Pelodiscus sinensis: one gene and its partners. The main gene of each other region encodes a partner of the protein of the gene in region 2 in a complex. Links are inferred from orthologs where the notes say so. Each region holds a gene or a part of one and is shown on either strand. Other genes may lie near its edges.

Region 1 (7,395 bases), on a different chromosome or scaffold from region 2:
GATAGAGATGTAGCCGTGTTAGTCTGGGGTAGCTGAAGCAAAATGCAGGACAATGTAGCACTTTACAGACTAACAAGATGGTTTATTAGATGATGAGCTTTCGTGGGCCAGACCCACTTCCTCAGATCAAATAGTGGAAGAAAGTAGTCACAACCATATATACCAAAGGATACAATTAAAAAAAATAAACAAATATGAGAAGGACAAATCACATTGCAGAACAGGAGGAGGATGCAGGGCTGGGAGGGGGAGGGGGGGGAGGAAGGAAGGTAAGTGTCTGTGAATTGATGATATTAGAGGTAGGGAGAGTGGGATGTTTGTGAGTTAATGGTATTAGAGGTGATAATTGGGGAAACTGTCTTGGTAATGGGTGAGATAGTTCAAATGTTTGTTAAGTCCTTTTTGGAAAGTGTTGAATTTTAACATGAATGACAGTTCAGAGGATTCCCTTTCAAGTGCAGATGTAAAAGGTCTTTGTAGCAGAATGCAGGTGATTAAGTCATTGAGAGAGTGTCCTTTCTGGTTAAAATGGCAAGAAACTGTTTTCTCTTTGTGATCTTGTCTGATATCTGTTTTGTGGGCATTAATCCTTTCCTATTCGCATTCTAGCCTTTCCCCTCTCCTCCCCGCCCCCCAAGTCCTATCTAAATAAAACCCACAGCACCACCTTCTGGCAGCTTTCATTACAATAATACGTTTGACATACAGCAACTATCCTCTTCTAAATGAATAGTAATAGAGATGTAGCCGTGTTAGTCTGGTCTTGCTGAAACAAAAGACAGGACTATGCAACGCTTTAAAGACTAACAAGATGGTTTATTAGGTGATGAGCTTTCGTGGGCCAGACCCACTTCCTCAGATCAAATAGTGGAAGAAAATTGACATGACCATATATACCAAAGGATACAATCCAAAAAAAAAATCTGATTTGTCAATTTTATGTGTGTTCCCTTTTTTTTATTGTATCCCTTTGGTATATATGGTCGTGCCAATTTTCTTCCACAATTTGATCTGAGGAAGTGGGTCTGGCCCACAAAAGCTCATCACCTAATAAACGATCTTGAAAGTCTTTAAAGTGCTGCATAGTCCTAGTGATAGAAATGTATCCGTGTTAGTCTGGGGTAGCTGAAGCAAAATGCAGGACAATGTAGCACTTTAAAGACTAACAAGATGGTTTATTAGATGATGAGCTTTCGTGGGCCAGACCCACTTCCTCAGATCAAATAGTGGAAGAAAGTAGTCACAACCATATATACCAAAGGATAAAAAAAAAAATGAACACATATGAAAAGGACAAATCACATTGCAGAACAGGAGGGGGATGCAGGGGGGGGAAGGAAGGAAGGTAAGTGTCTGTGAATTGATGATATTAGAGGTAGGGAGAGTGGGATGTTTGTGAGTTAATGGTATTAGAGGTGATAATTGGGGAAACTATCTTGGTAATGGGTGAGATAGTTCAAGTGTTTGTTGAGTCCTTTTTGGAAAGTGTCGAATTTTAACATGAATGACAGTTCAGAGGATTCCCTTTCAAGTGCAGATGTAAAAGGTCTTTGTAGCAGAATGCAGGTGGTTAAATCATTGAGAGAGTGTCCTTTCTGGTTAAAATGGCAAGAAACTGTTTTTTCTTTGTGATCTTGTCTGATATCTGTTTTGTGGGCATTAATCCTTTGGCGAAGTGTCTGAGATGTTTGTCCAATGTACATAGCAGACGGACACTTTCAGCACATGATAGCATAGATTATATTTCTGGATGCGCAGGAATATGTGTTCTTGATCTTATAACTCACTTGGTTAGGCCCAATAATGGTGTCAGCAGAGTGAATATGTGGACAAAGCTGGCAACGGGGTTTGTTGCAAGGGAAGGTACCAGGGTTGGTATTAGTGTGGTATGTCCTGTGGTGGTTGGTAAGAATCATCTTGAGGTTAGGTGGTTGTCTATAGGAGACTATGGGTCTGTCTCCCAGAGCCTCTTTGAGTATGGTATCCTGTTCCAGTATAGGCTGTAGTTTATTGATAATGTGTTGGACAGGTTTAAGTTGGGGGTTGTAGGTGATGACAAGTGGTGTTCTATTGTTGGTTTTCTTGGGTCTGTCTTGAAGTAGATGGTTTCTAGGTATTCGTCTGGCTCTTTCAATTTGCTTTTTTATTTCTCTGGGTGGGTAGTTGAGGTTTATAAATGCTTGGTAGAGATCCTGAAGTTTCTGGTCTCTGTCAGTGGGATTAGAGCAGATGCGGTTGTATCGAAGGGCTTGGCTATAGATGATGGATCGTATAGTGTGTTCTGGATGGGAGCTGGAAGCATGTAGGTAACTGTATGAGTCAGTGGGTTTTCTGTAGAGGGTGGTGTCTAATTTTCCATTGTTGATTTGTACTGTGGTGTCCAGGAAATGGATCTCTCGTGTAGAATGGTCCAGGCTGAGGTTAATGGTGCGGTGTAGGTTGTTGAAATCTCTGTGGAATGTCTCCAGTGTTTCTTGGCCATGCGTCCAGATCATAAAGATGTCATCGATGTAGCGTAAGTAGAGAAGAGGTAAAAGGGGATGGGAGTTGAGGAAACGTTGTTCTAGGTCAGCCATAAAGATATTAGCATACTGTGGGGCCATGCGTGTACCCATGACTGTGCCCGCTGATCTGGAGGTATAAGTTGTTCTCAAACTTGAAATAATTGTGGGTGAGAACAAAGTTACATAGGTCTGCTATCAGGCTGGCAGTGGTGTCCTCTGGGATAGAGTTTCTAATTGCTTGTAATCAGTATTCATGTGGGATGTTGGTGTATAGTGCTTCTACATCCATGGTGGCAAGGATGGTGTTATTGGGGAGGTTATCGATGTTTTGTAGTTTCCTTAGGAAGTCAGTAGTGTCTCGGAGATAGCTGGGGTTGTTGGTTGCGTAGGGTTTGAGGAGAGAGTCTACATAGCTGGGTAGACCAGTAGTGAGTGTGCCAATACCAGAGATGATGGGGCGTCGGGGGTGTCCAGGTTTATGGATCTTGGGAAGCAGATATTAGTGTGATATGTCCTGTTGTTGGTAGGAATCACCCTGAGGTTAGGTGGTGGTCTATAGGAGATTATGTGTCTGTCTCCCAGAGCCTCTCGGAGGGTAGTATCCTGTTGGAACTGTATAGGTTGTAGTTTATTGATAATGTGTTGGACGGGTTTAAGTTAGGGGCTATAGGTGATGACAAGTGGTGTTCTATTATTGGTTTTCTTACGTCTGTCTTGAAATAGATGGTTTCTGGGTATTTGTCTGGCTCTTTCCATTTGTTTTTTTATTTCTCCAGGGCTGTGTCCAGACTCAGGGGTTTTTTCGGGAAAAGTAGCCTTTTTCCGAAAAAACTTCCCCTGCGTCCAGACTCAAGCCGCGTTCTTTCGAAATTAAATCGAAAGAACGCGGCTTTTCTTTCGATGGCGGTAAACCTCATTTCACGAGGAAGAACACCTTCTTTCGAAAGTTCTTCTTTCGAAAGAAGGCGTTCTTCAATGTAAATAGGGCTTCTTCGAAAGAGAGCATCCAGACTCACTGGATGCTTTCTTTCGAAAAAGCAAGCCGCTTTTTCGAAAGTTCAACGTGCAGTCTAGACGCTCTCTTTCGAAAGAGGCTTGCAGTCTAGACATAGCCCAGGTGGGTAGTTGAGGTTTATAAATGCTTGGTAGAGATCCTGAAGTTTCTGGTCTCTGTCTGTGGGATTAGAGCAGATGCAGTTGTATTGAAGGGCTTGGCTACAGACGATGGATCGTGTGGTGTGTTCTGGATGGGAGCTGGATGCATGTAGGTAACTGTATGAGTCGGTGGGTTTTCTGTAGAGGGTGGTATCTAATTTACCACTGGTGATTTGACTGTGGTGTCCAGGAAGTGGATCTCTCGTGTGGAACGGTCCAGGCTGAGGTTGATGGGCTGTAGCTTGTGAAAGTCTCTGTGGAATATCTCCAGTGTTGCTTGGCCATGGGTCCAGATCACGTGATGTAACTTTGTAGCTGTATTGTAACAGAGATCAATGGCTCCCACACCGGGCAGCACCGAGCCATTCGTCTCGTTTGCAGCGGTGCAATTAGTGCAATTAGTGTTTCAATTCCTTACTTTGAGTTAATTCGGGGAGCGCCGATCCCCGACGCTGCTTTCCCCGAGCAGCTGATTGCCTTGCTCGTGCTAGAAACTCGCCTCTGCGGGGCTCCAGCGCCCCGGCGCTTTGCAGCCCGCTGGCCGGGGGGGGGCCGCCCTCGCCCGTTTGAAACGCAGGGAGGGGCCCTGCTGCAGCAGGACAGGAGCCCGCGCCCCGCCCCGCCCGTGCGAGCCACGTGGCCGGCCCTAGCGGGGGGAGGGGCGCGGCGGGTAACGCCCAACCGCCGCGGAGCGGATGGGGGAGGGGTTCAGGTGGCTTGGGGTCAAGGGCGCGTCCCGCGCGCCCCGCCCTGCCCGGACGCCATTGGCCGGCGCGCCGGGCAGCAGCCAATGCGGTGGCCTTGCGTCCGGGAGCGTGACCTGCCGTCACGTGACGCGCTCAGTTTGCCGGTTGTGCACGAGATGGAGGAGTACGCGCGCGAGCCCTGGTGAGTCTGGGGCGCGCGGCGGCCGTTGGGGGGGGCGCGAGCCGGGGAGTCCCGCTGAGGGCCCGGGCTGGCTCCCTGCCTGGGCGCGTGGTAGCCTCGAGCGGGGCCCGCAGTGACCCGGCCGCCTGGCGCGAACCCTGGACCCGTGACACGCAGCGCGGACGGGAACACACACGCGCGAATCGCGAGTGGAGGAAACGGGCTCGGCCGCCGTGGGGCTCGTAGAGCAGCGGGGGCGGGAGCAGGCGCGGTACGGGGGCTGCTCTGGCCGGTCTCCGCTGCAGTGCTGCTCCCGGCCACGCGGAGAGGTAAATCGGTGCCACTGTCCCGGGTTCTGCAGAACCCCCCCCGGCCAGCGAGCAGCGAGCCAGCTTCAGGAAGAACAGCCAGCTGCAGCCATGGGGAAGGGTCCAATCCTGGCCTTCAGGCATCCCTCTGCACTGAGGGCACCTCTCTGGGGGAGGGAGGTCGAGTCATTAGGGAGGGACCCGTAGTAGTTGGTCTTTAGCTGAGTTTGCAGTGACTAGCAGAAGTGCACGGTGACTTGCCTATCTGGCACAAAGGTTAACATTAAAAAAAATGTTTTATAAGATTAATGGAGATTGCCTGTCTCCTAGAACTGGAAGGGACCTTGAAGGGTCATTGAGTCCAGGCCCCTGCCTTCACAGCAGAACCAAGTACCATCCCTGACAAACCTTTGCTTCCACAAGGATTGAACTCACAACCCTGGGTTTAGCAGGCCAGGGCTCAAACCACTGAGCTATCCCTCCCCCCCAAGGTTGCAGATCTTCTCTACTCTTCTGTGTAGTGCTGGGGAAGACCTGATTGTGGTACAGGTACATACCAATGACATAAGGACAAATAGGAGAGAGGTTGTAAAGGCCGAATTTAGGCAACTAGGTAAGAGATTGAAGTCTAGTATCTCTGTGGCAGCATTCTCTGACATTAGGACAGAGGCATCCCTTCGGATGATGCTCAATCAGTGGAGTTTCTCTGTGTCCTAAAGTGATTATGTAAAATTGTTAGAAGTCTAAATAATAAGATGGATGCTTTGTATTAGATGAGGATATTGATATCATAGGCATCACAGAAACTTGATGGAATGAGGACAGTCAATGGGACATTGTATTTTGTTCCCTGGTATTACTATCAGGTTGTGCTGGTAGGGAGTGGCACTGTATGTATAAGAAAGCATAGAATCAAATGAAGTAAAAATTGTAACTGAGCCCAAATACCATAAATTATGTATAATAACTTAATGCGTGACTGTGCAGAGAACCTTAGAACTTGGTAAGTATTTTGGGAGAGCGTAGGTACATAAAGTTAATGTGTAATCGACAGGGGTGTAAAAGGTTAACAGGAAAGCCGGTAGGGGCTGGAGCAGCTCCCCACCCATTCTGGACAGAGGGCTGCTCTAGCCCCACTGGGCCCACTGCAGGCAGGGGTTTCTCTGGCTGGTCAAAGCAGCCCCTCTTTGCAGTGGGCCTGACTTCTCTGCTACAGGTTCACACTATGGATCCCTACCTTGCAGAGCTACCTGCAGATCTCACAACAAAGTCTCCCTAGAAGTGGGGCCACCTGCCCCTGCCCGCCCTGCTCCCAGGGAAGTTTTGCTGCAAGCTCTGCAGTATAAAGAGTCTTCAGTGCATGTAACCGCTAAGATTTTTAGCGGTTACGTGGTTACCTTTTAAAACCACTTGTTACATCCCTAGTAATTGGAAAGTTCTGATAGTTTTCTTATTCTTTATCCTTGATTTCAGCACTTTATATTTCTGTTTGTTTTTCCTCTTTAGCCCCTGGCGGATAGTGGATGACTGTGGTGGTGCCTTCACAATGGGAGTCATAGGTGGTGGCATCTTCCAAGCTATCAAAGGGTTCAGAAATTCCCCAGTGGTGAGTAAAATAATTTGTTGTAGATAAGCTAATATAGTAGCTTTGCTTCCAATAGTGAAACATATAGGAGTGACCTAAGAAGAGGAAATACCCATAAGGTTCTCTTCATGATAACTTGTCCCCAGTCTTCGTATTGAGAGACAGTATTTATCCCCTGCAGGAGAGATTGCAGACCAGGAGAATAAACCTGCTCCATCTCCCATGATCCACATAAAGTATGGGTCCATCTGTATAGAAGCCTTGCTGCCTTCTGCATGCTCCCTATGGCTTCTATGACCGGTGGCAGCCCTAGGGAAACCTTTTTAAGGGACATCTTCCTGCTGGGGTATCCTGCCTAGGGTTGCAGTGCCATTTAGAATTTGCTCAGCTCCCCATCCTTCATTAGCCACATTAAGTGGTGCTGTGACCCCTGGCACCAAGTCACAAGCAGGGTCAAACCTAGTGGAACCAGAGCTTTTGCTGAGGGGTGAGGGTGGGACAGGCCCAAAGCCCCCTCTCCACACTGGGCCAGGATTAGGGTTGCAATGCCAGGCATATATGTAATGAAGGGTTGCAAAAAGACCCACATATTTGGGAACATTGGATTAGGACACTCACCTAATAGGGGGGCAAAACCCACTTCATATTCCTTCTCAACAAGTGTTGGGAGTTGTATCCTTGATTTCCTCCTTGTCTTGGGTGAGTACTCTACTGGGCCCAAAGTTACGAGATAGCTCCTCCTTCCCCTTCGCGCCCGTTCTCCTCAATCCTTCCAGCTATTTCGTAAGGAGTTAGGCATGCAAGTTAGGCGGAGGAGCACCTATGTTCCCCTAGTTTGTGATTTGCACTCGAGCTTAGAGTGTGAGGTAGTAGTTTGCATACCCTGACATAGAAATTTAGGCATCTAAGGAACTTTTACTGCAAAATCTTCTATTCCATGTGGGCTTAGGCATGCGGCTAAGAGGGGCATTTCTGA
Region 2 (7,070 bases):
GAGGCTGAAGTCACATGCCCTCTTCCCTCCCCAGTGCTCCAGGCCCAGGACATTGGAGCCATGCACCACCTGCCCTCCCCATGCTCCAGGGCCGGGGAAGCTGGAGCCGCACACTCTCCTCTCGCTCCGTGCTCCAGTGCCAGGGATGCTGGAGCCACACACCCTCTCCCCTCCCCATGATCTGGGGTGAGAAGGGCTGTGGTGCGCACATGTGGGGGTGCCCCCACAGTGTGCTGCCCCATCTTCTCATGAGGGGTGGGGGCTCAGAAGAAGGGGCGGGGTTGGAGTGGGGCTCGGAGCTTGTCTCCCCAGCCCTACCTTCACCAACTGCCCATGATGCCGCCTCACCTTACTAGTCTCACTCTTGTTGCTAATCCTTTCTCAAGCAACTGTTAACTCAGACTGGCCTTGTCTACACTTACAGCACTGCCCCAGTGCTGCTGCACCACTCCAGGGGCTGTGTCTACACTGGGCCACTTATTCCGGAAAATCAGCCGCTTTTCCAGAATAAGCTGCGAGCTGTCTACACTGGCCCTTGAATTTCCGGAAAAGCAACGACGCTCTACTGTACAAAATCTGCCGCTATTCCGGAAAAACTATTCTGCTCCTGTTCGGGCATAAGTCCATATTCCGGAACACTGTTCCGGAAAAGGGCCAGTATAGACAGCCCAGTAGTCTTTTCCGGAAAAAAGCCCCAATCGCGAAAATGGCGATCGGGGCTCTTTTCCGGAAAAGCGTGTCTACATTGGCCACAGACGCTTTTCCAGAAAAAGGGCTTTTCCGGAAAAGCAGCCTGTCAATGTAGATGCTCCTTTTCCGGAAAAACTGAAAACGGAATAGTATTCCGTTTTAAGCAGTTCCGGAAATTCATGCCAGTGTAGACACAGCCCCCGAGAGATTCTCCAATCAGCATAGGTACTGCACCTCCCTGGGAGGGAGTAGCTATCTGTAGAACCAGGTGCAAATACTAAATTTGTATCCACATCAGATCTGCAACTGCAAAAATGATCCATGGTTATAAGCATATATTTGCAGATTCACAGGGCTTGAGATATAAAATTTGGATCTGCATCCATCTGCAATCTGCAAAAAATGGTCTGCAGATAACAGCAGGTGTGGATGCAGATAAATGCAGATACAAAGCAGATATCCTTATATTTGCAGGGCTCTAGATATTTCCAACAATAGGGCTACGTCTACACTGGCAGCTTCTTGCGCAATAACTCTTTTGCAGAAGAGTTCTTGTGCAAAAAGTCTTCCAGAAGAGAGCGTCTACACTGGCATGTGCTTTTGCGCAAGAGATGTGCTTTTGCGCAAGAGCATCCATGCCAGTGTAGATGCTCTCTTGCACAAGAAAGCTCTGATGACCATTTTAACCATAGGGCTGTTGCCTGTCTACACTGGCCTCTTGCGCAAGAACAGTTGTGCAAAAGGGCTTATTCCTGAGTGGGAGCATCATAGTCCTTGAGCAAGAAGCCCTGATTTCATACAGTAGAACGTCAGTTTACTTGCGCAAGAACACACGGCCAGTGTAGACAGGCAGCAAGTTTTTGTGCAAGAGCAGCTGCTTTGGTGCAAGATCGCGCCAGTGTAGACACCTAGGCTGTGTCTACACTGGCATGAATTTCCAGAAATGCTTAAAACGGAATACTATTCCGTTTTCAGTTTTTCCGGAAAAGGAGCGTCTACATTGGCAGGCTGCTTTTCCGGAAAAGCCCTTTTTCCGGAAAAGCATCTGTGGCCAATGTAGACGCGCTTTTCCGGAAAAGAGCCCCGATTGCCATTTTTGCGATCGGGGCTTTTTTCCGGAAAAGACTACTGGGCTGTCTACACTGGCCCTTTTCCGGAACAGTGTTCCGGAAAAAGGACTTATGCCCAAGCGGGAGCAGAATAGTTTTTCCGGAATAGTGGCTGATTTTGTACAGTAGAGCATCATTGCTTTTCCGGAAATTCAAGGGCCAGTGTAGACAGCTCGCAGCTTATTCTGGAAAAGCGGCTGATTTTCCGGAATAAGTGGCCCAGTGTAGACACAGCCCTAGAGTCAAAACGAGTAGTCCCTATGGCACCTTAGAGGCTAACAAAAATATATATAGTATCATGAGCTCTTGTGGGCAAAACCCACTAACAGGGCTATCCCTCTGAGACATGAAAAAGATACTATTCTACCTACATGGGTCATTAACATCCAGGCTTAAGCAAGTCTCTAAAGTGCTTTGTAAATGTAAAGCACTCGAGATGGTATGTATTAGTTATTAAGCACTGAATTTAAATGCCAGTGAAAGTTTTATGTTGATAGAGCCTAAAGAAAATATTAAACTGCATCTAATATTACAAAGAATTTACAAACAATGGACCATTATCTTGTTAAGACAACAGTTCCCAAACACTAGTCCCCAGCCCAGCAGCGGGCCACGAACCCTCGTCTGCCGGGCTTCTGCACGTTGCCAGGCCACACCCCAGCTTTTATTTACTCCGCCCCTTGGTTTCCAAGAGAATTCCCTTCTGTAAGGCACCTCACAACAGGGTGAGTGGGGCAGCTGGTAGCTGGGTGTGCTGAGGCTGGAGCCATCCTATTGGGGCAGCCTCACCATGGCCTCAGTTCCAGGTCCAGCAACCACTACGTGGCCTGGCCAGCAGGGCCAAGGGATAGCGGCTGCCCCAGCCGGGGGAGGGGAGGGGAGGGGAGGGGAGAGGAGACAAGCGCTGTGCAGGAAAGCGACTTCCAAATGCCGCATGTACAGTGGCTGCCCTGGTTCTAGAAGGAGCTGCACAGGGCAGGGCGTGAGGGAAGCCCTGAGAAGCACTGAGCCCCTGCAGAAAGCACATGCAGAGCTGAGGGGCAGCAGGCTGCCCATAAATTGGAAGCATGGCCCTTTTAGCCTCTCATCTCAAAACAAAAGACAATGTAAAAAATGCAATGTAAAATAATGTGACCCCTTAATATTACCATAATAAATATGGAAATATGCAAACACATTAATGACAACATGAATATGCAAATATTCCATTGCCAGTCCTCCAGCAGTTTTTGGATGAGTTTGCTGGTCCTCAGTATAAAAAAGATTTGGAACCGCTGGGTTAGGACATAAATGTCTGCTACTCTGTCTATAGTGGGCTATCACAGATTCTTAAAGATGTCATAAAGTACAATTCTGTTATTCTTATTATCATTATTGTAGCTTCCATGCTAAAAGCAGTAGAGTCTCTTATGATTGAATTCCAACTGTAATTATAGCTTCTGCCTTTTCAGTGCTCACAACTTCCTCAAACATATTTCTTTTAAGTGTGAATTGTCCTAGAAAGTTTGAGTAAAATCTTTACAGGTGTTTTTGGGTAGTGGCTTCATGGAATTATTTACTAGCTGAGTTTAATTAATAAATATTTATATGATTATATAGGAGCTGTATGCACATGCTGACCACAAAGGAATTATTGGGAGGAAAACATAATAAATACATAGAATTTGACCAGGGGGGCAGAGTTACTTTTATGTTCACTCAGTTGCTGAATCAGGCCCTGTTAAAATAGATTTTACATCCATCCGTTTCCATGATGAAAAACGACCATTTTAGAACCTCATCCTGCAAAGACCATGGGACTAAAGGTGTCCCTAAATCTTTGCAGGATTTATTCACCTTGAAAAAGGAAGAAATGCTTCTTTTACCACTATATTTGCAAAACAATAGGCAGTTCGCATTATTGCAAGGTCATAATGTTTTCCTAAAATGACAATTGGAAACCTTCAAAAAACGAAAAGAGAAGAAAACACTCCAAAACATATGCTCTTTTTCATTCACAAGCGCTGAGAGTTAAAGGAAGTCAAAAGCATCCAGCCTCCCTTACTACTTTTGTTACGTGGTATCTGTTCTAGAACCAGGAGATTGAAATTACTGTAGGTTTGTGTCGGTGCAATTTAATCTCACAGGCAGGAGCTGGCGCTTTGCATTGTGGTAGTTGTAGTCATTTTTCCTTTCAGCTACTATTAAATATAGATGGGAGGCGAATTTCTGTGAACTACAATTCCCAGGACCTCATGGCATTTTTTTTCCAGGGAACTTTGCAAACGTGATGGAGGAAGTTGAAAATGTCAGCGAGCACAGGGTAATGTAGGTTTCTCGATTAAAGTAAATCAACAAGGTAAAAGCAAATTCAAATTGAGAGATTGCTCCAATTCTGTTTCACTAAAGGGACAGCACCTTCATTGCACACACTATGTATGCGTTGCTTAGGTGCAGATTACATTAAGTTAAGATCTTTCCTGCAATAATCAAGGGAGGGTTTAGTTCAACTAATCTACATAGATCTTTGTTTGTTGGTAACATACTAAGACTTGTTTTGCCTCATGATGTTTTCTCCTTCGTTTACACGAGTTATTAAATGCAGCGAGAAGTTACAAGGCTCGACAGGAAAGTGGTTGCTTGCCCTCCATGGGAAAGTGTTTCTAAGGACTTGGCGGTGTTTTATGTGGGGGCAGGAATTTTCCCACATAGAATCTGTGTTGCGTCCTCGTATGCTTTTCCAAGGTGCAAAACAAAATATCTGGACCCAGGAAGGATCCCTCAGAGCTGGGAATAACAGCAAACAAGTGTCTGTGCAAAGAAGTCACAAAGGAGGCGCACCCGTGTCGGCTGCTCAGAAAGGTAAGTGAAAGTGAAGCTATGGCCAATATTAATTAGCAACTTGCATTGGTTTTAAATAGCAGTGACCATCTACAGCCCTACAACTGAGGAATATAAAACTGATTCCCACAGCTGCAACTCATCCCCTGGTTTATACATTGCATTTTTTAGCATAACTTTATACAGAGTTGACTTTTAACTGGTATGTGTGTATTACACACTCACAGGCTGTGTCTAGACTGGCAAGTTTTTCCGCAAAAGCAGCTGTCTACACTGGCCGCTTGAATTTGCGGAAGAACACTGACAATCTAATGTAATATTGTCAGTGTTCTTCCGCAAATACTATGCTGCTCCTGTTCGGGAAAAAGCCCTCTTGCACAAATGTAGTTGCGCAAGAGGGCCCGTGTAGACAACTAAAAACTGTTTTGTGCAAAAAAGCCCCGATGGCAAAAATGGCGATTGGGGCTTTCTTTTGCAAAACCGCGTCTAGATTGGCATGGACGCTTTTCCGCAAAAAGTGCTTTTGCGGAAAAGCGTCCATGCCAATCTAGACGCTCTTTTCCGCAAATGCTTTTAACGGAAAACTCTAGATGTAGCCAATAGGTAAGTGGCAGGCTTCTTATAGGTAGGCTAATTGGAACAGGCCTAATATGTTTTGTAGGGTCCACATAAGTAACACACAGTGCTCTCCATCTGTCTCCCCAGTTATGGTTGGATCCCCTTGCATGCAGAAGTTTAACACTACATTCCTATTCTCTTGCCTTCTGCCTGCCTGCAGTCAGCTTTTAGCACCACTCCAGCCTTGGAGAAAAAATAGGAAAAAAAAATAAACCTAATCAGCAATATTTGGGTTAAAGGCTGATACAAATTCAAATGTTAACTCTTCTAAAATAATTTTCTTCCTCCAAACACACATCACATTTTCTTATTACCATTGTAACAAAAAAGCAGTCTTTAGGTGAGGAAGAGTGGCTTTGTACCTAATAATTTCCAAATCTATGTATTAGATTAATATTTGATATCAGTTTCATCAGTCCCTCTTTAATGTGGAGATTGCAACTCACCTCTAAGGATTTCTTCCACTTGGCCACAGTGATCTTAGATTGCACAGCATCCATTGATTAATATGAAAAAACCAGAAAGGAATGTAGAGGTGATTTAAACCCTGTACATTAGGGATGTGAAAGTGTAAACATATACCTGGTTAACGGTTGAGCCTGGGCTCATCAGTTAATCTTCACAATTACATGCAGGCCACCCCTCTCCCACTGTTGCCTCTGTATCAGCGGCTATAGCGGAGGGCAGGTGAGGCAGGAGCTGGTGTTCGTGCATACCAGCTCCCGCAGAGCCTCCTATTCCCCCATCCCCTCACTGTTGCCTCTGTGTAAGAGGCAGCAGGGGGGAAAGCAGGTGGGACCCGGTGCTCAGGGGGAGTTAGCTGGCTCTGCAAGTGCTAGCTCCCGCTTGCCTCTGCCCCCTTTCCTCAACCTGTAAACATGTAATTACTGATTTTTTTCACTGCTTACATATTTACCTGAATAAACACATTTTCATGTCCCTGATATAAATTCTACATCCATGTCATTTCCTGAAGATTAAAACTGGCTTAGTTTAGTGAATTAAGAAAGTGATTTCCAGACATTGGTCCATTTGCTAGTTGCCTGCAGAGAGATGGCTGATCACATGGTACTGGCACCTCCTTTGTAGCTAATACAGTTACAAAAAATAGTGAATGTTTTTCTGGTAGTGTTTTTCCATGTATGTAATCAGGGTAGTTGCCACCAATGACCAATGTTGCCATTTGATCACCAATAGAAGGGGAGACAACCCAAATTGTTTCAAAAGGGAAGGAAGAAGCAATGTAAGAGGCTTTGGTATAGTCCATAGTGGAGATCCCACTTTTCAGCCATCTCAGCTGTATTACTCTCCAAGAACCATCTTCGTCTTTCATAATTATTTGATTAATTTTCAATCTAATAGGAACGTGCTGAACCATATAATTCTATTTCTCTGACCTAATGTTGAGGCCAACAAGTGTGGTTGTTCCCCCCCCCCCCTTCACTATTTAATGAAAATCATCTTACAAATATAAATATGCATAATTTGGAGACGCTATAGACAAAATTTCTCATGTAACCTATCCGTTTTGAATGTAACAATTAACTGGATCTATATATCCTGTTTTGGTGTATGAATCATTCTTTTATAAGATTGTTTATAGTTTTAAATATGCTAATGAGAGACATCACTGGATGCCCGGAACCCTTAACAACTTGGTGATCAACTTAACGATTTATAAATAGCTTTGTTTGTCCTGTAAGTCCAAAGGTGTTTTGACTAGTTAGATATGTGACCACACCAGCTGATAATTGGGATGGCATTTTGATCCAGGTATTTTTCCATGGAAGGGAGAATATAGAACGAAAGATTTCCACCCTGAGGAAAATACTA
Region 3 (7,582 bases), on a different chromosome or scaffold from region 2:
CTCTGACGTGGTCTTCTAAGGGAAGCTGAAGAATCCCCATTTCTGGAGGTTTTTTATGAACAGGTTGAACACGCACCTGTCATGGATAGTCTGATTTTACTTGATTCTGCTTTTGTGCAGGGGACTGGACATGATGAATTCTAGAGGTCCCTCCCAACCCTCTATTCCTAGGATTGAAGTGAATATAGCCCTATGGAAAATAATTGGATTCTTCTTTTTAATAATGATTGATCATGAGTAGGAGTCCAGGACCCTGGACAAGAATGGTCCTTAAGTGCTTTTAATATGCGATCTAGATTTGTAACTTTTTTATGCTTGATGGCTGAAATATAGATCTGTGAAAAAGTGACAAGTAAGTGTATAAATTACTGTGCAAATGATAAAAATATAATTTTCTAGATTCTAGATATATACATTTAATTCTGTAAATAAGCTAATACTTTGTTTAAAATACTGTCAGTTGAAAACTAAAATATTCTGGTTTTTTTTTAAATCAGTATTAGAAAAAATTGGAAGAGGTGGCAGGGGAAGTCATCATCATCATCCCTGGGAATAGAAATCAGAGTATGTTTTGATGAGGGTTGGCAGGAGGGTGGTGTGTTGACAGGAGAGGGTGCAGTTGGGTAGGCACAGGGGAAAAGGCTCTTAAGGGAACAGATGTGTATTTTGGGGCAGCAGAAAAAAAGGGAAGAAAGAGAAGGATTATAAAGGAGCAAGAGGTGTGTGGTAGTGGGGCAGAATAATGAAGAGATGTCAGAGTAGAACCAGGATTTTTGTGCATTGGAGAAAGGGCATTCATTAGGGATATGGGTGTGGCAAATTTACTGGAGATATGTTTGGGATTGTACTGGGAGTATGTTGGAGTGGATAGAGGGGTGTACTGGGGTGCAGGAGAGCATTGGTAATGGGTTGGGGGTGGATGGAAAGATAAATGTACTGGAACTGTGTCGGAGTTCACAGAAGGAAGTATGAACTGGTTTGGTGGAGTATACTAAGAGTGTATTGAGGTGGACAGAGGTATGCATATTGGATGTATGCTGGGGTGGATGGAGAAGTGCAGAAGGATGTGGCTGTATTAGCAATGTGGGGTGGAAGGAGAGGTGTATAGGAAAGGAAGAGTGCATAGGGAATGTGTTGTGTTGGATAGCGTGTGTATTGGGACAGGGTATTGGGAGTGTGTTGAGGTAGGTGGAGGAGTATACTGGGACAGCTGGAGAGCTGTAACTGTGGGTGTGCTGGAGTGGATGGAGGAGTATATGGGGGCTTGCTGGGGGAGCATTGGAGTGCGCTGGGGTGGTGTAGGGGGTGAGCATTGCTGGGGGGTCATTGGAGTGTGCTGGGGTGGTGTAGAGGGTGACTAGGGACTGTGCTAGGGGGTGCATGGAGAGAAGTGTGATAGAAGCTGGGGGAGTACTGGGAGTGCGAGGGGTGTGATGCGAAGGGAGGGAGAGAGGATACCGGAGAGCACAGCGGGCTCCTGCCCAGCTTCCGGGGCTGGCAGCGACAGAAGTGCCTGCTGCGGGGCAAAGGGGCTGGCAGCCCAGCCCAGCCCAGAGCCCCCGGCAGTAGGTCCCGGCCAGCCCCGCAGCGGCGCGGCAGCAGGTGTGCGGGGAGTGGGGGAGGCGGGCTCACCAGCAGCCAGAGCAGAAGGAGGCCCCCACGGGGCACTGGCCGGGGCTCCGCTGGGCGCCACATGGTTCCGATGGGGCTCAGGCGCCGGCTGCTCCCATGGGCGACGCGGGGCCGGCACGCGGCGGGTCGAGGCCCAGAGCGGCACTTGCTGCTGCAGGTCGGTGCCGGCTCAGGGCAGCCAGAGCGCGCGGCCGCCGGGGGAATCCGGCCACGGGGACTAGGCAGATCCTGCTTCCTGGAGCTCAGCCGCTGCGGGGGGAGGAGGCTCCGCCCGGGCGGGGCTGGAGTCTCGCTGGGCAGGTGCAGCACGAAAGGACGAGCCGAGCTGGGGACGCCAGGCGCACCTGCTCCTCCTTTGTTCCCTCCCTCAGTCTCGTTGACCTTCCCCTGGGTGTAACGGTGTGGAGGGGGACAACCCGCTCGTTTTGCTCGCCCCTAGAGCTATTTATCTGAGTCTGTGGATGCTGCTGGGACTGCCCAGCACTGCCTGACACGCTGGCCTGTGTATAGTGTGAATTGTGTGTATTGTTTCTCCTCCAACTGCCGCTCTCGGGATGGGGGAGTGGGAGAAAGGGAGAGAATTAAAAATACCTTAGTTTGCAGGTGCTCTGAGCCTCTGATAGAAGGGCTCATGCATTTACATGGACCAAGAGTTACAATGATTTGTGCTAACACATCACAGAAATCTCAGAGGGGTAGCCCTGCTAGTGTGTAACATTACAGAAGAGCTATTAATTCTCATGCTTCAGGATTTAAAGTTTAACCAATTGCTGTTAGAGCCCACGATGGGACCTACGTGAAACAGATTATTTCAAAGCTGTTGCCGTGGGAGTTCTTGCATTTCGTTCTGAAGCCTTTGGTCCCGATGTAGATACACACCCCGGCCTCTGTCAGATACTGGATTAGCTGAACCTGGGAGCTTGATCCATCTAACAGTTCCCATAATCTTATGCCTGTCTTTAGGTTTCCTGGATTTTTTTGCCTTAATAGACTTCCCATGATGACTTCCTCAGGAAGCCATCAGTCAAATAGGAATGCCAGTAAAGAGCTCTGAGAACATTTGTCACATCTCTAGAAAAGTGCACCTTGTAATTGTATTAGTTATTAATAATAACCTCAGAATTATAGAAATTACAATAAAAAGACATTGCATGGTCTGAAATCCTTGGTACATGTTATTACTATTATATTATCTGCATTATGCTAGAGCCTATAGGAAGTTAGGAACTGTCCACACACATAGGAAGGCATAGTAGCTACCATGAACAACTCACATAAATTGTACTATTTACTTATACTTTCAAACTTAAACATATGGCATGACTGTGCCAATTTAATAATAGAGATAAAATTATTGTTTAATATATGTTCCTGAAACATTGTAATTAAGAGCTGCATTAGATGATGAAGTTCAATATTATCTGTCATTTATGTACACCCATAGAAAGACTTGTAGGCTTCCTGCCCTCCCGGGACTAAGGCCTTGGTCCTAATCAATATGCTTTGACAGATCTCTTACAGATATGTGGAGCCCTTAATGCAGGTGGTATGTAGGGCTACACGAGGTTCCTTTACTCTCTGTTGAATTTTAGCCTTACAGGATATGACCCTTATTCTGCTCCCCATCAAATTCCCACCAGCTTCATTACCAACAGGATTTGGCAAATACTACTTCCCAACATCTGAAGTATTGTACTATGTACAAGTTCTGTCATTGAAAACACTTGTATCTGTCTGGAAAGGACACAGCCTTTAGGTTGACAAATATGCCGTCTTCTCATACTACAAATACTAGTCCTTTTTAATATCCAAAACTGAAAATTTAGTGTATACCATTATTTTCCATTTTTATGATGCAAAATAAAAGCCTGAAAAGTTTTGGGTTTATTTTTCCTTCTAAGAGCATTGGAAAACCTACTTTTTACATTAAAGATTCAGATTGTGTCCAATGTGCTTATCCTAAAATTGTAGATTTATGAGTCACCATTCAAGTGAAAGTTGATTAAAGGGACAATGACTTTTATTATTCAGTTTTTGAAATATATACAACTCTAACACCTTATCACGCAGGGCAGAAAAAGCTGTAAAATATTGAACATTATCTTGCCTTCTGTTAAAAACTAAGAAATCTCTTATCCTTATCTGGTATGTCCAAGAAGACCTCCAGCAAAACCAGCAAAGACTGACAACCTTAATTGATATTTGTTATACATATAAAAAAGCAGAACATAACCTTTTCTCAAATAAATCTTCCTGGCAGAAAATGATTGATAGTGCTCTTACAAGTAATTTCTTTCTTTGCACAGGTTACATTCAAAGTACCCAAGGAACTGGATTCCGGGACAAGCAGTATCGGGCTGGTTATCTGCAAAAAAGCCACTTTGGCATCTTTGGAGAGATAAAAATGTAATACAAAGCTCACGAACTTAGTTTGCTTGTTCTACTGTGTCTGAAGGCACAGGCACGGTGATGGTGGAACTACGAAAAGATTGGAGTCAGAATGTATGAGTGGTTTCCATGGGGTATATTATCATTCACGTCACGGGCTGTCAAATGGTGTTGAACAGCTGTTCTATTGCGCTCAGCTGACTGCACCCCTCTCCCCCCCAGTTCCTGTCTGTCTGTCTGTCTGTGCATCCGACGGGGCTTCTGCACCAGCCCCATCGCTACCACTGGAGTGCAAAGCCCGGCGCACGTCGCGGCCTTGGAGACGCGTGAGGCCCCCGCTGCTGCCATAGCCCCGCCAAGGAGCCCCCATCCCGGCACAGGCCGCACTGAAGCGAGGTGACGAGCCCCGCCCCCCGGAGCTCGCAGCCCGCCTCTAGGACGCAGCGGGGGACGCGCCCCGAGGCGCCTGCAGAAGTGGGGGGCGGGGCTGCCACAGCGAGGAAGCGGGAGACTTCGGGAAGGGGCGGGGCTTAGCTTCTCAGTGGCGCCTGCACTTGCCCCGGAAGCGGAAGCGGGTAAACTGCAGTCGAAGGTGAGAGGTCAGAGGGTGGAGGTCTGCCCCTCGCCTTGCCTAGCTATGGGGCGACACTCCCGCACGCTGCTCATCTTCGGCGGGTTCGTGGCCGTAGTGGGGGCGGCGTTTTACCCCATCTACTTCCGGCCGCTGCGGCAGGTGGACCAATATAGTGAGTACGGCCCCGCCGAGCCTGGCGTGAGCCCCGCGCCGCTCTCCGCGCAGCGCCCCTCACCCTCGCTCCAGGCGCCCAGCTCCCTGTCCCCGCCCTCCCGGCCGTGCCACGGGCCCCAGGGAGCAGCCTCCCCGTGGTGTATCCGCCACCGAGCTCCCCTCCCTGTGTAATCCCTGGGCCTCGCCCTCACGCCCCCTCTCTGTGCTGCTCCCTGCCCTGCAGACAGCGCTTCGTTTGCTCAGTGATTCCTCCCTGACTCGCCTAGTCATTACTTGGGTACAAAGGGGTAACCAGTAAACCAGCCTCCTGCCCGCGCCGGTTAACCAGGTACCTTTTAAACGGGATTTTACATCCTTAAAAACAACGAATAGTCTGATAGCATTTTAAAGACGAACGAAACATGTAGATGGTATTGTGAGCTTTAATGGGTGCAACCCTGTTCTTCATCTGACTATACTTATGGGCCAGAGATTCATCTTCTGGTGTTTGGTTTAGAGGGACTACTAAAGACCTGCTCAATTAAATTATGAGGGCACTGTCCGGTCACCACTGCTACTCCTTGATTCACGAGGAGTAAGGGAAGTTGACGGGAGCATTTGCTCCCGTTGACTTCCTGCTATGGAGATAGCTCGGCTTAAGGTACATCGACTCCAGCTCCATTATTTATGTTGCTGTAATTGTATTTATGTAGTTGTAATTAAGCCAGCCTTCCAAGTGTAATATAGATCTGGTTTTAGCACTAGGGATGTTGAAAATCGTGTAATAAGATAGCTGCGTAACTTCTGAAAATCTCAGTGGTTACATGGTTACACCTGCTGTGGACTCTGCAATGTAAAGCTTAGCTTTATACTGGAGGGCCCACAGCAAAGCCTCCCCAGGTCTGGCTCCTGGGGAGGTGTGGGGGCTTTGCTGTGGCACCGAATCTTTCTCCCCAGGATCAGAGTGGGTAGCCCTTGCCGGCCTGGCTTCTGGAGAGGAGACTTTGCTGCCTTTTCACAGCAAAGCTGCCTCCCTGGAGAACTGAGCGCAACTGACACCAATAAGAATCCATTTATCAATTAAATGGCTAACTGGGTACACTTTAACATCCCTACTTGTATCACTAATCCTAGCATCATCACCCCCAAATAATTCTCTCCATGCTGCATACTGAAGTGGTTGATGTGACTTCAATAAAGCTTTTGATATTGTCTCTCATGGCCTTCTCATAAAAAAACTAGAGACATACAGCTTATATGGAGTTACTATGTAAGGTGGGTGAAAAACTGGCTGGAAAACCATTCCCAGAGAATAGTTATTGGTGGAGTGATGTTGGAAGGCCATAACGAGTAGGATCCCACAGGAATCAGGTGTAAGACTGGTTCTGTACATTACCTTTATCCATTGTATAGATAATGGCATAGTGAGTACACTTGTAAAATTTGCAGATGATACCAAGTTGGGAGGACTTTGAGAAATAGGATTAAAATTCAAAATTATCTGGACAAATTGAAGAAATGGTCTGAAATAAATAGGATGAAATTCAATAAGGACAAATACAAAGTTCTCTACTTAGGAAGGAAGAATCAGTTGCGCACATACAAAATGGAAAATGATTACCTAGGAAGGAGTAGTGTAGAAAGGTATCTGGGGGTCATAGTGGACCACAAGATATGTATAAATCAACAGTGTGACACTGTTTGTTGCAATAAAAATAAATATATATATTTCTGAGATGTATTAATAAGAATGTTTTCAACAAGACGTGAGAAGTAATTCTTCCACTCTACTCTGTGCTGCTTAGGTTTCAAGTGCTCAGTTCTGAGCACCACATTTGAGGAGAGATGTGGAAAATTGGAGAAAGTTCAGAGAAGAGCAAACAAAAATGATTAAAGGTCTAGAAAACATGACCTATGAGCAAAGATTGGAAAAAATTGGGTTTATTTTGTCTGTAAAAGAAAAGACGTGAGAGAGCATTATAAGCGTTTTCAACAACATAAGTTGTTACAGAGAGAGGGGGAGAAAAATAGTTCTGCTTAATCTCTGAGAGAAGGACAAAAAGCAATGGGCTTAAATTGCATCAAGGAAGGTGTATGTTGGACGTTACGAAAAACTTCCTGTTAGGGTAGTTAACCACTGAAACCAATTGCCTAGGGAGTTGTGGAATATCCATTATTGGAGATTTTTAAGAGCAGGTTGGACAAACACCTAATGGTCTAGATTTGGGTGGGGAAACTTTTGGGTTTAGGGGGCTGCTGATCCACAGAATAATCAGTTGGGGGCAAAAACAAAACAAAAAAAAACCCCTCACTCACCTGATCCCTGACTGAGAAGGGGAAAAGGCACTCCCCACATTCCTCTTGCAAATCAGAGCCTAAGACCCAGAAGGGCCCAGGCTATTAGATTTTATGTGCTCCAGTCCTGTGGTGAGATAGTGGGGGAGCAAGCTGCGGGCTGGCCTGAGGCTCTCCACCCCATTCTAAATAATATTTAGTCCTACCATGAGTGCAGGAGAACTGTACTAGATGATATCTTAAGGTCCTTTCCATTTCTATGATTCTACGTATGGTCTCTTGGAATTACTGTTGTTTAAGACATTTTACTTGAGCAGTAGAATGGTGATTTAAAAAAAAAATCTTTTATATTGTAAACTGTAGTGTGATTGTGGGTTTCATATCTATAACACTTGCTAGTTTGCTTGCTAGAGAGCCTCCCATGGTGTCTGGAATATACATATATAGACACAGAGAGCAACAAACTTACTAGAAACAAGCTAGTACAGGTTGAACCTCTCTAGTCCAGAATAAGGATGTTAAATGCGATTATTTGGCTAA
Region 4 (7,071 bases), on a different chromosome or scaffold from region 2:
TCGCCGCATGGGACGGGCATGGGGGTCAGAACCAGGGGGGAAGAGGGAGCAAGGACTCCTGGGTTCTCCGCATGGGACGGGCATGGGGGTCAGAACCAGGGGGGAAGAGGGAGCGAGGACTCCTGGGTTCGCCGCATGGGATGGGCATGGGGGTCAGAACCAGGGGGGAAGGGGGAGCAAGGACTCCTGGGTTCTCCGCATGGGACGGGCATGGGGGTCAGAACCAGGGGGGAAGAGGGAGCAAGGACTCCTGGGTTCTCTGCATGGGACGGGCATGGGGGTCAGAACCAGGGGGGAAGAGGGAGCAAGGACTCCTGGGTTCTCTGCATGGGACGGGCATGGGGGTCAGAACCAGGGGGGAAGGGGGAGCAAGGACTCCTGGGTTCTCCGCATGGGACGGGCATGGGGGTCAGAACCAGGGGGGAAGGGGGAGCAAGGACTCCTGGGTTCTCCGCATGGGACGGGCATGGGGGTCAGAACCAGGGTGGGGTGGGAGCAAGGACTCCTGGGTTCTCCGCATGGGACGGACATGGGGGTCAGAACCAGGGGGAAAGGGGGAGCGAGGACTCCTGGGTTCTCCGTATGGGACGGACATGGGGGTCAGAACCAGGGGGGAAGGGGGAGCGAGGGACTCCTGGGTTCTCCACATGGGACGGGCACGGGGGTCAGAACCAGGGTGGGGTGGGAGCAAGGACTCCTGGGTTCTCCGCATGGGACAGGCATGGGGGTCAGAACCGGGGAGGGGTGGGAGCAAGGACTCCTGGGTTCTCCGCATGGGACAGGCATGGGGGTCAGAACCGGGGGGGAAGGGGGAGCAAGGACTCCTGGGTTCTCCGCATGGGACAGGCATGGGGGTCAGAACCACGGGGGAAGGGGGAGCGAGGACTCCTGGGTTCTCCGCATGGGACAGGCATGGGGGTCAGAACCAGGGAGGGGTGGGAGCAAGGACTCCTGGGTTCTCCGCATGGGACAGGCATGGGGGTCAGAACCACGGGGGGAAGGGGGAGCGAGGACTCCTGGGTTCTCCGCATGGGACAGGCATGGGGGTCAGAACCGGGGGGGGTGGGAGCGAGGACTCCTGGGTTCTCCGCATGGGACGGGCATGGGGTCAGAACCGGGGGGGGGGGGTCTCCTGGCTTTGCTCCCCACTCCGGCCCATGGCCCCCAGGAAATACATCTTGCAACATCCTCAGTAGAATTTCTGGTGGTGGGGAGAAGAGTTTCAGGCTGCGGAGGGGGAAACTGAGGCAGACGGCTCTCCCTCATGCCCCCCATCCACCTCAGAAGGCGCAGCAGCCGTAAGTACCCCGCCCCCCACGCCACCTGGATCTGGAGGGGGGCTGCAGCCACATGCCTGGGAGGACCCCACGTTTCCATGGAGCTAGGGGAGAGCAGCCCGTCCCGCTGGGGGCCACACACCACGGTCAGTCCCAGCCCGTCTCCAGGTTTATTGGGGGAGGGGCTCAGTCCTGCTGCTTGGCGCGCGAGGCCTCGGCGTTGGCGCGCAGCACGGCGCCGGGGCTGGGGTACGGGCGCTGCTGGAACAGGGGCCCGGCTGCCGTCGTGTCCGCCCCCGTCTTCGCCTCGTTCCGCTTCGGGAGCCCCGTCGACCATGTGCCCCTGCGGGGGAGGGGGCAAGGTCAGCGCAACACCCCACCCACTGCAATAGACCCCTCCCCTTCGCCATTCCCGCCGCCCCGCACCCCTCCCCAGCACCCTCCAAGCCTCACCGAGGGGCGTCCGAGTAGGCGCTGGGGTCCATGGGGTCCAGCTCCTCGTCCTTGCGGCTGCCTGGGGAGGGAACGGCAGGGGCTGTATTCAGTGCTCCCCATCCCCCCAGGTACCAATTCCCCCCCTTCCCCTCCCCACTCAACCCACTTTGCCCCCCAGCTGCGCCCCAGGCCCGGCCCCCTCCCCACGCACTTTTCTTGCTCTTGGGGTAGGGCGCCAGCTCCTCCCGGCGGTGGTAACGCCGCTCCTTCACCTCCACGCGCTCCGGCTTCTCGTAGGGGCGCTCCGGCTTCTCCTCGGCGTCTGGGGGAGACACAGGCCCTGGCCTCAGCCTGGTGTCTGCGCCCTCCCCCCTGCCCCCTCCGAGCCACTAGCCCCCACACCCGGAAAGGGCAGGAGCCCGCCCAGCTCTAAGCACTAGACCCCACTGCCTTGCCGTTACCCAGGCTGTTCTTCAGCTTCTTAGCGGCTTTGGTGATGACGGAGCCGGGGTCGTTAGGAGACAGCCAGCACCAGGTCGTTCTCCATGTTCCAGTAATAGGGGAGGCCGCTGGAGGGCAGGGGAGACAGAGTTCATTCCCTTCCCCGCCACGCTTGGGCTGAGATGCAGCCGTGTCTGGGGCAGGGCCGGGGAGGGGGCAGCCACGCCCAACGCGGCAGGGGGGCGCCCTCTTACCAGATGGGGTCAAACACTTTGTACCAGTTGGGAGGCAAGTTCTCCATTCTGGTGGCCTCGTAATCCACGTGGTCGTCGTCATAATCTTCAGCGATGATCTCCTCCTCCGGCTCTGAGGTCAGCGGGAGTCAGAGAATCCCCGGCACAGACCCCTGCCCCACGGCGCCCGGACCCCCGGCCAGGGAGAGCCCCCCGGCTCCCCCTCTGCCCCTGCGCCCCGGCCAGGGGAGAGCCCCCCCGCCCCATGGCGCCCAGCCCCCCGGCCAGGGAGAGCCCCCCGACTCCCCCTCTGCCCCTGGCGCCCCGGCAGAGGAGAGCCCCTGCCCCACGGCGCCCGGACCCCCAGCCAGGGAGAGCCCCCCGACTCCCCCCTCTGCCCCCTGGCGCCCCGGCCAGAGGAGAGCCCCCCGCCCCATGGCGCCCAGCCCCCCGGCCAGGGAGAGCCCCCCGCCCCATGGCGCCCAGCCCCCCGGCCAGGGAGAGCCCCCCGCCCCATGGCGCCCAGCCCCCCGGCCAGGGAGAGCCCCCCGACTGCCCCCTCTGCCCCCTGGCGCCCCAGCCAGGGGAGAGCCCCCCCGCCCCATGGCGCCCAGCCCCCCGGCCAGGGAGAGCCCCCCGACTCCCCCCTCTGCCCCCTGGCGCCCCGGCCAGGGAGAGCCCCCCGACTCCCCCCTCTGCCCCCTGGCGCCCCGGCCAGGGAGAGCCCCCCGACTGCCCCCTCTGCCCCCTGGCGCCCCGGCCAGGGAGAGCCCCCCCGCCCCATGGCGCCCAGCCCCCCGGCCAGGGAGAGCCCCCCGACTCCCCCCTCTGCCCCCTGGCGCCCCGGCCAGGGAGAGCCCCCGACTCCCCCTCTGCCCCCTGGCGCCCCGGCCAGGGAGAGCCCCCCGACTGCCCCCTCTGCCCCCTGGCGCCCCCGGCCAGAGGAGAGCCCCCCGCCCCATGGCGCCCAGCCCCCCGGCCAGGGAGAGCCCCCCGCCCCACGGCGCCCGGACCCCCGGTCAGGGGAGAGCCCCCGCCCCATGGCGCCCAGCCCCCCGGCCAGGGGAGAGCCCCCCCCGCTCACCGGGCTCCACGTGCTTGAGGAGGCCCCGCTTGCCAGGCGAGACTGAAGCGCCACCGGCAGCGGCATCGCGAACCCTGCGGGGCGGGACCGTCAGGGGGAGAGCGGCCCCGGCCCCGCCCCCTGCCCCCTGGCCCCTGCGCGCCCCGCCCCCGGCCACGCCCCTGCCCCCCCCGCCCTAGGCCCCGCCCCCTGCGCGCCCCGCCCTCCCGCTCGGGCCCCCCCCCCCGCACCAGCTCGTCCGGCTCCTCCAGGCCCCTGCCACTCGCGTGACGCCTCGGGGGTCCCCGCCCACGTGACAAGATCCGACCAATGGGAGGAAGGGAGGCGGGGCTCTCAGCTTTGCTTTTCCGGCAGGCCACTCGGTGCCCTCATGTCACGTGACAGAGCGCTCGGCCCCGCCCCAAAGGCCAACCAGTCAGCGGGAAGACGGAGTCTCTCATGTCACGTGCTGGCAAAAGAGCCAATAGGGAGGCCCTGACCCCTTCTTGTCAGGTGACCGCAGGGCCGGAATACGGTTTTTTTATGTCATGTGCCTCTCTCTGGCCAATCAGAGCAGAGACTCACCCCGGCCCGGTGTGTGACGCGAAGGGGAGCAGACACCACGTGATTCCAGCTGTCCAATAGGGGGGCGCGGGGTGCCCCTTGCTTGTCACGGGACAGTCGGGTCAAGGGGCGGAGCCTTATGCTCACGTGACCGGCGCGGCCGCTGTTGGGAGTCATGGAGGAATATGCCCGGGAACCCTGGTGAGCGGCCGGGGGGGGAGGGTCAGTCTCTTTTTCCTCCCCCCCCTTCCGGGAAGCTTGGTCTGCCCCGCCCTGAATGCGCCTATGGGCGGGCGAGTCCACTGGGGCAGGAAGGGGGGGGGCAGCGAGGGAAAGCCCCTCCCCCCACGGCCGGGGCCCGTGGGCCGCTCCATTTGGTGCCTGGCCGGTCTGGTGCCTGGCCGGTCTGCATAACGAGCCTCCCCGGGCGCTGTTGGTCACTTGGTAGCGCCCAGCCCCTTGTGTGGCCTGAGGCCCGGCGAGTCCATTGGAGGAGCATGGGGGGAGGCAATTCTCTGAACGCTCAGCACACGCCCTTGGGATGGATTCACCTGCCCCCTTCCGTCCTTTGCCCTGCTCCGTGGGGGGCTCGAAGAAACTGACACCCCTATTCTTGGTCACTTGGTAGTTGCCGGGTTTTGGTATCTGTGAGCGGGTGAGTCCATTATGGAGAAAGGTGGGGGTGGGATGAAAGAAACGGACTTGTCGTCCCCCCTCCCCTTCCCGTGGAGCTGGGAGACACCAAGTCACCACGGACCGTGGGGGGGGGGGGGGTGTTGGGAAATAGCAGGAATTAGAGGGGGGTTGTACCATGTGGTGGTCCCTTGGCTGGGGGGGTTATTGTAGGGTCTCTTCTTGCAGGGAGGGGCCGGATGTGCGTGGTGGTGGCTGGGGGGGAGGCGGTGATGGATTTATTCTAGTGTCTGGGCTGAGGAATCACTTCCCGTGGGGTGACCCCCCCCCGGGATCTGCTCGTGACACCCCCCCCCCGGGATCTGCTCGTGACCCCCCCCCGGGATCTGCTCGTCCCTGCAAGTGTTGTGCTTAGTTGTCCTTTCCGGGGGAAGAGGCAAAGGCCAGGTCTTGGTGATACACGTCTAGCAACCCACCTTCTCCTAGACATCGGCTAGATCCCACCCACACACCCTGACTCCTGGTCACCAATAGTTCCCCCTGACTGCACTGGCCAGGTGAGTTAGGTGGGGCCCCTGCAAGATGCCGTCGATTGGTGACTCTTCGGGGGGTGTCTCAGCGCTGCCCCATGCACCTCCAGAGAGGGGGTTCCCAAAAGCAGGCCCCTGCTGCTGACCCCCAAGGCATCCACAGGTCCAGTCTTCTCTCAGTGGGCCTGCTTCCCAGGCCCTTTCACAGGTTCTTGGCTCTGGCTCCCATCCCCTCTCCGGAGGTGCTGGTCTTCCCGTATCCAGTCCCACCTCATCCGCTCCGTAGGGCCTGTTCTACCAAGACTCCATGCGCTGAGCCCGGCTCTCGATGGACAGGCACAGGGGTTCTGTGTGAAGGGACTCGGTGCAAAGCTAAACGGACGTGATACAAAGTTAAAAACTTCAATGAGAAAATGGCTAGTGCAGAGATTGATGATTAATAGAGAGATCTACCTACAGCAGCCCCCTTCGTCCACCCCAGATTCCTGCTTTCCCTCCCCCCCCCCCCACACGCTTGCATAGCTTTCCTGCAGGTGGGCTTGGTGCTGTGGTGGGGCTGGTGTCCCCTCGGGCTCATGGCGGGGTGGCCGGGCGCCCCGGAAGGGGATGGTTGCGCGAGGGTATCTGGCTGTTGTGGAGCTGTTACTGGGGGGGGAGGGGTGCCCTCTTTCTCCCCTCCCCCACTGATGTAGGGTCTTCTGCAGGGTTTGTTTGTTGTAGGGTCTCCCAACCTGGCTAACCCCCCTTCTCCGGCAGCCCATGGCGCATTGTGGACGACTGTGGCGGTGCCTTCACCATGGGGATGATCGGCGGGGGGGTCTTCCAGGCCATCAAGGGCTTCCGGAATGCCCCAGTGGTGAGCCCTGCCTAGCCCCAGCCTCCCCTCCATTGCCTGACAGCTCTCCCCAGCCCCCGACTTCTGGGGGAGCGGGGCAGCATCTCAGCTCACTTCCCCCTCTGCTCTCCTCCCCCAGGGCGTTCGACACCGGTTCAAAGGCAGCGTCAGCGCCATCCGCATCAGAGCACCCCAGATTGGAGGTGAGGGGCCGCGGTGTGGGGGGAGGCATGGCCAGGTGGGGTACGGAGCTGAGGTGCAGCTCATCCCTGCTCCTTCCTGTCCCCAGGTAGCTTTGCAGTCTGGGGCGGCCTCTTCTCCACCATCGACTGTGGCCTGGTGAAGATGCGGGGAAAGGAAGACCCTTGGAACTCGATCACTAGTGGGGCCCTCACAGGAGCTGTGCTCGCCTCCCGCAGTGAGTGCCAGGGGAGGGCCCCCTGCCCCGCCCCTGTTGTGCTTAAAAGAAGCACCTGGGATAAGGCCACATGCCACATTTATTGACCATCCATAGATGGAGCCATACTTATCCGATGCATAGGACACATCACTCTCATGCACTCTCACACGCACACTCCGTCTTGTTGTTCCCAAAAGTTGCTCCCCTTCACTGCACTGGCCAGGTGCGTAAGATGGGGGAGGGGTGGAGCCAGGCTTCTGCAGATCCGGATCGATGCTCCCATGTTGACAAGAGGAAAACCCAGGGTCCCTCTGCAAGATGCCTCCTATTTATCCCTTTCATGCAGCCAATTAGGCATCACCTCACCTTTCTTAATGCTGCTTCAGAGAGAGTTCTTCCAAGGGCAGGCACTTGCTGCTTGACTCCCAAGGGGTCTGTATGTCCAGTCCTCTTAATGAGCTCCCTTTACAGGTACTGTCTTGGATCTGGCTCCCAGACCTTCTCCACTCTTGGGACTGCTGCTGGAGGTGCTCCCCTTTCATTCTCCAGTCACACCTCAGTCATTCCAACAGGGCAACCAAGGAAAGGGCAGAGCTCAAAAGACAGTTTATCTTACAAGATCTCTTAATACAAAGTTCTAGGAGAAATGTTCCAGAGATT

The links.
Region 1: TIMM21 (region 2) and TIMM17A share a complex: the UniProt entries of both Homo sapiens proteins name them as parts of the TIM23 complex. The link is inferred for Pelodiscus sinensis from reciprocal best matches to the Homo sapiens genes TIMM21 and TIMM17A.
Region 3: TIMM21 (region 2) and SMIM20 share a complex: the UniProt entries of both Homo sapiens proteins name them as parts of the MITRAC (mitochondrial translation regulation assembly intermediate of cytochrome c oxidase complex) complex. The link is inferred for Pelodiscus sinensis from reciprocal best matches to the Homo sapiens genes TIMM21 and SMIM20.
Region 4: TIMM21 (region 2) and TIMM17B share a complex: the UniProt entries of both Homo sapiens proteins name them as parts of the TIM23 complex. The link is inferred for Pelodiscus sinensis from reciprocal best matches to the Homo sapiens genes TIMM21 and TIMM17B.

The regions. Positions count from the first base shown.
Region 1 is NC_134737.1:16,752,854-16,760,248, reverse strand, and holds the start of TIMM17A (mitochondrial import inner membrane translocase subunit Tim17-A), read left to right. Parts: upstream 1-4,391; 5' UTR 4,392-4,449; coding exon 4,450-4,547; intron 4,548-6,340; coding exon 6,341-6,440; intron 6,441-7,395. UniProt on the Homo sapiens protein: Essential component of the TIM23 complex, a complex that mediates the translocation of transit peptide-containing proteins across the mitochondrial inner membrane.
Region 2 is NC_134712.1:95,701,265-95,708,334, forward strand, and holds the start of TIMM21 (mitochondrial import inner membrane translocase subunit Tim21), read left to right. Parts: upstream 1-4,051; 5' UTR 4,052-4,342; coding exon 4,343-4,640; intron 4,641-7,070. UniProt on the Homo sapiens protein: Participates in the translocation of transit peptide-containing proteins across the mitochondrial inner membrane.
Region 3 is NC_134715.1:101,593,674-101,601,255, reverse strand, and holds the start of SMIM20 (small integral membrane protein 20), read left to right. Parts: upstream 1-4,582; 5' UTR 4,583-4,657; coding exon 4,658-4,766; intron 4,767-7,582. Other genes in the region: SEL1L3 (protein sel-1 homolog 3), read right to left, coding at 1,633-1,695.
Region 4 is NW_027466031.1:273,195-280,265, reverse strand, and holds the start of TIMM17B (mitochondrial import inner membrane translocase subunit Tim17-B), read left to right. Parts: upstream 1-4,055; 5' UTR 4,056-4,188; coding exon 4,189-4,214; intron 4,215-4,423; exon of another isoform or gene 4,424-4,668; intron 4,669-5,880; exon of another isoform or gene 5,881-5,932; coding exon 5,933-6,032; intron 6,033-6,150; coding exon 6,151-6,214; intron 6,215-6,300; coding exon 6,301-6,429; intron 6,430-7,071. UniProt on the Homo sapiens protein: Essential component of the TIM23 complex, a complex that mediates the translocation of transit peptide-containing proteins across the mitochondrial inner membrane.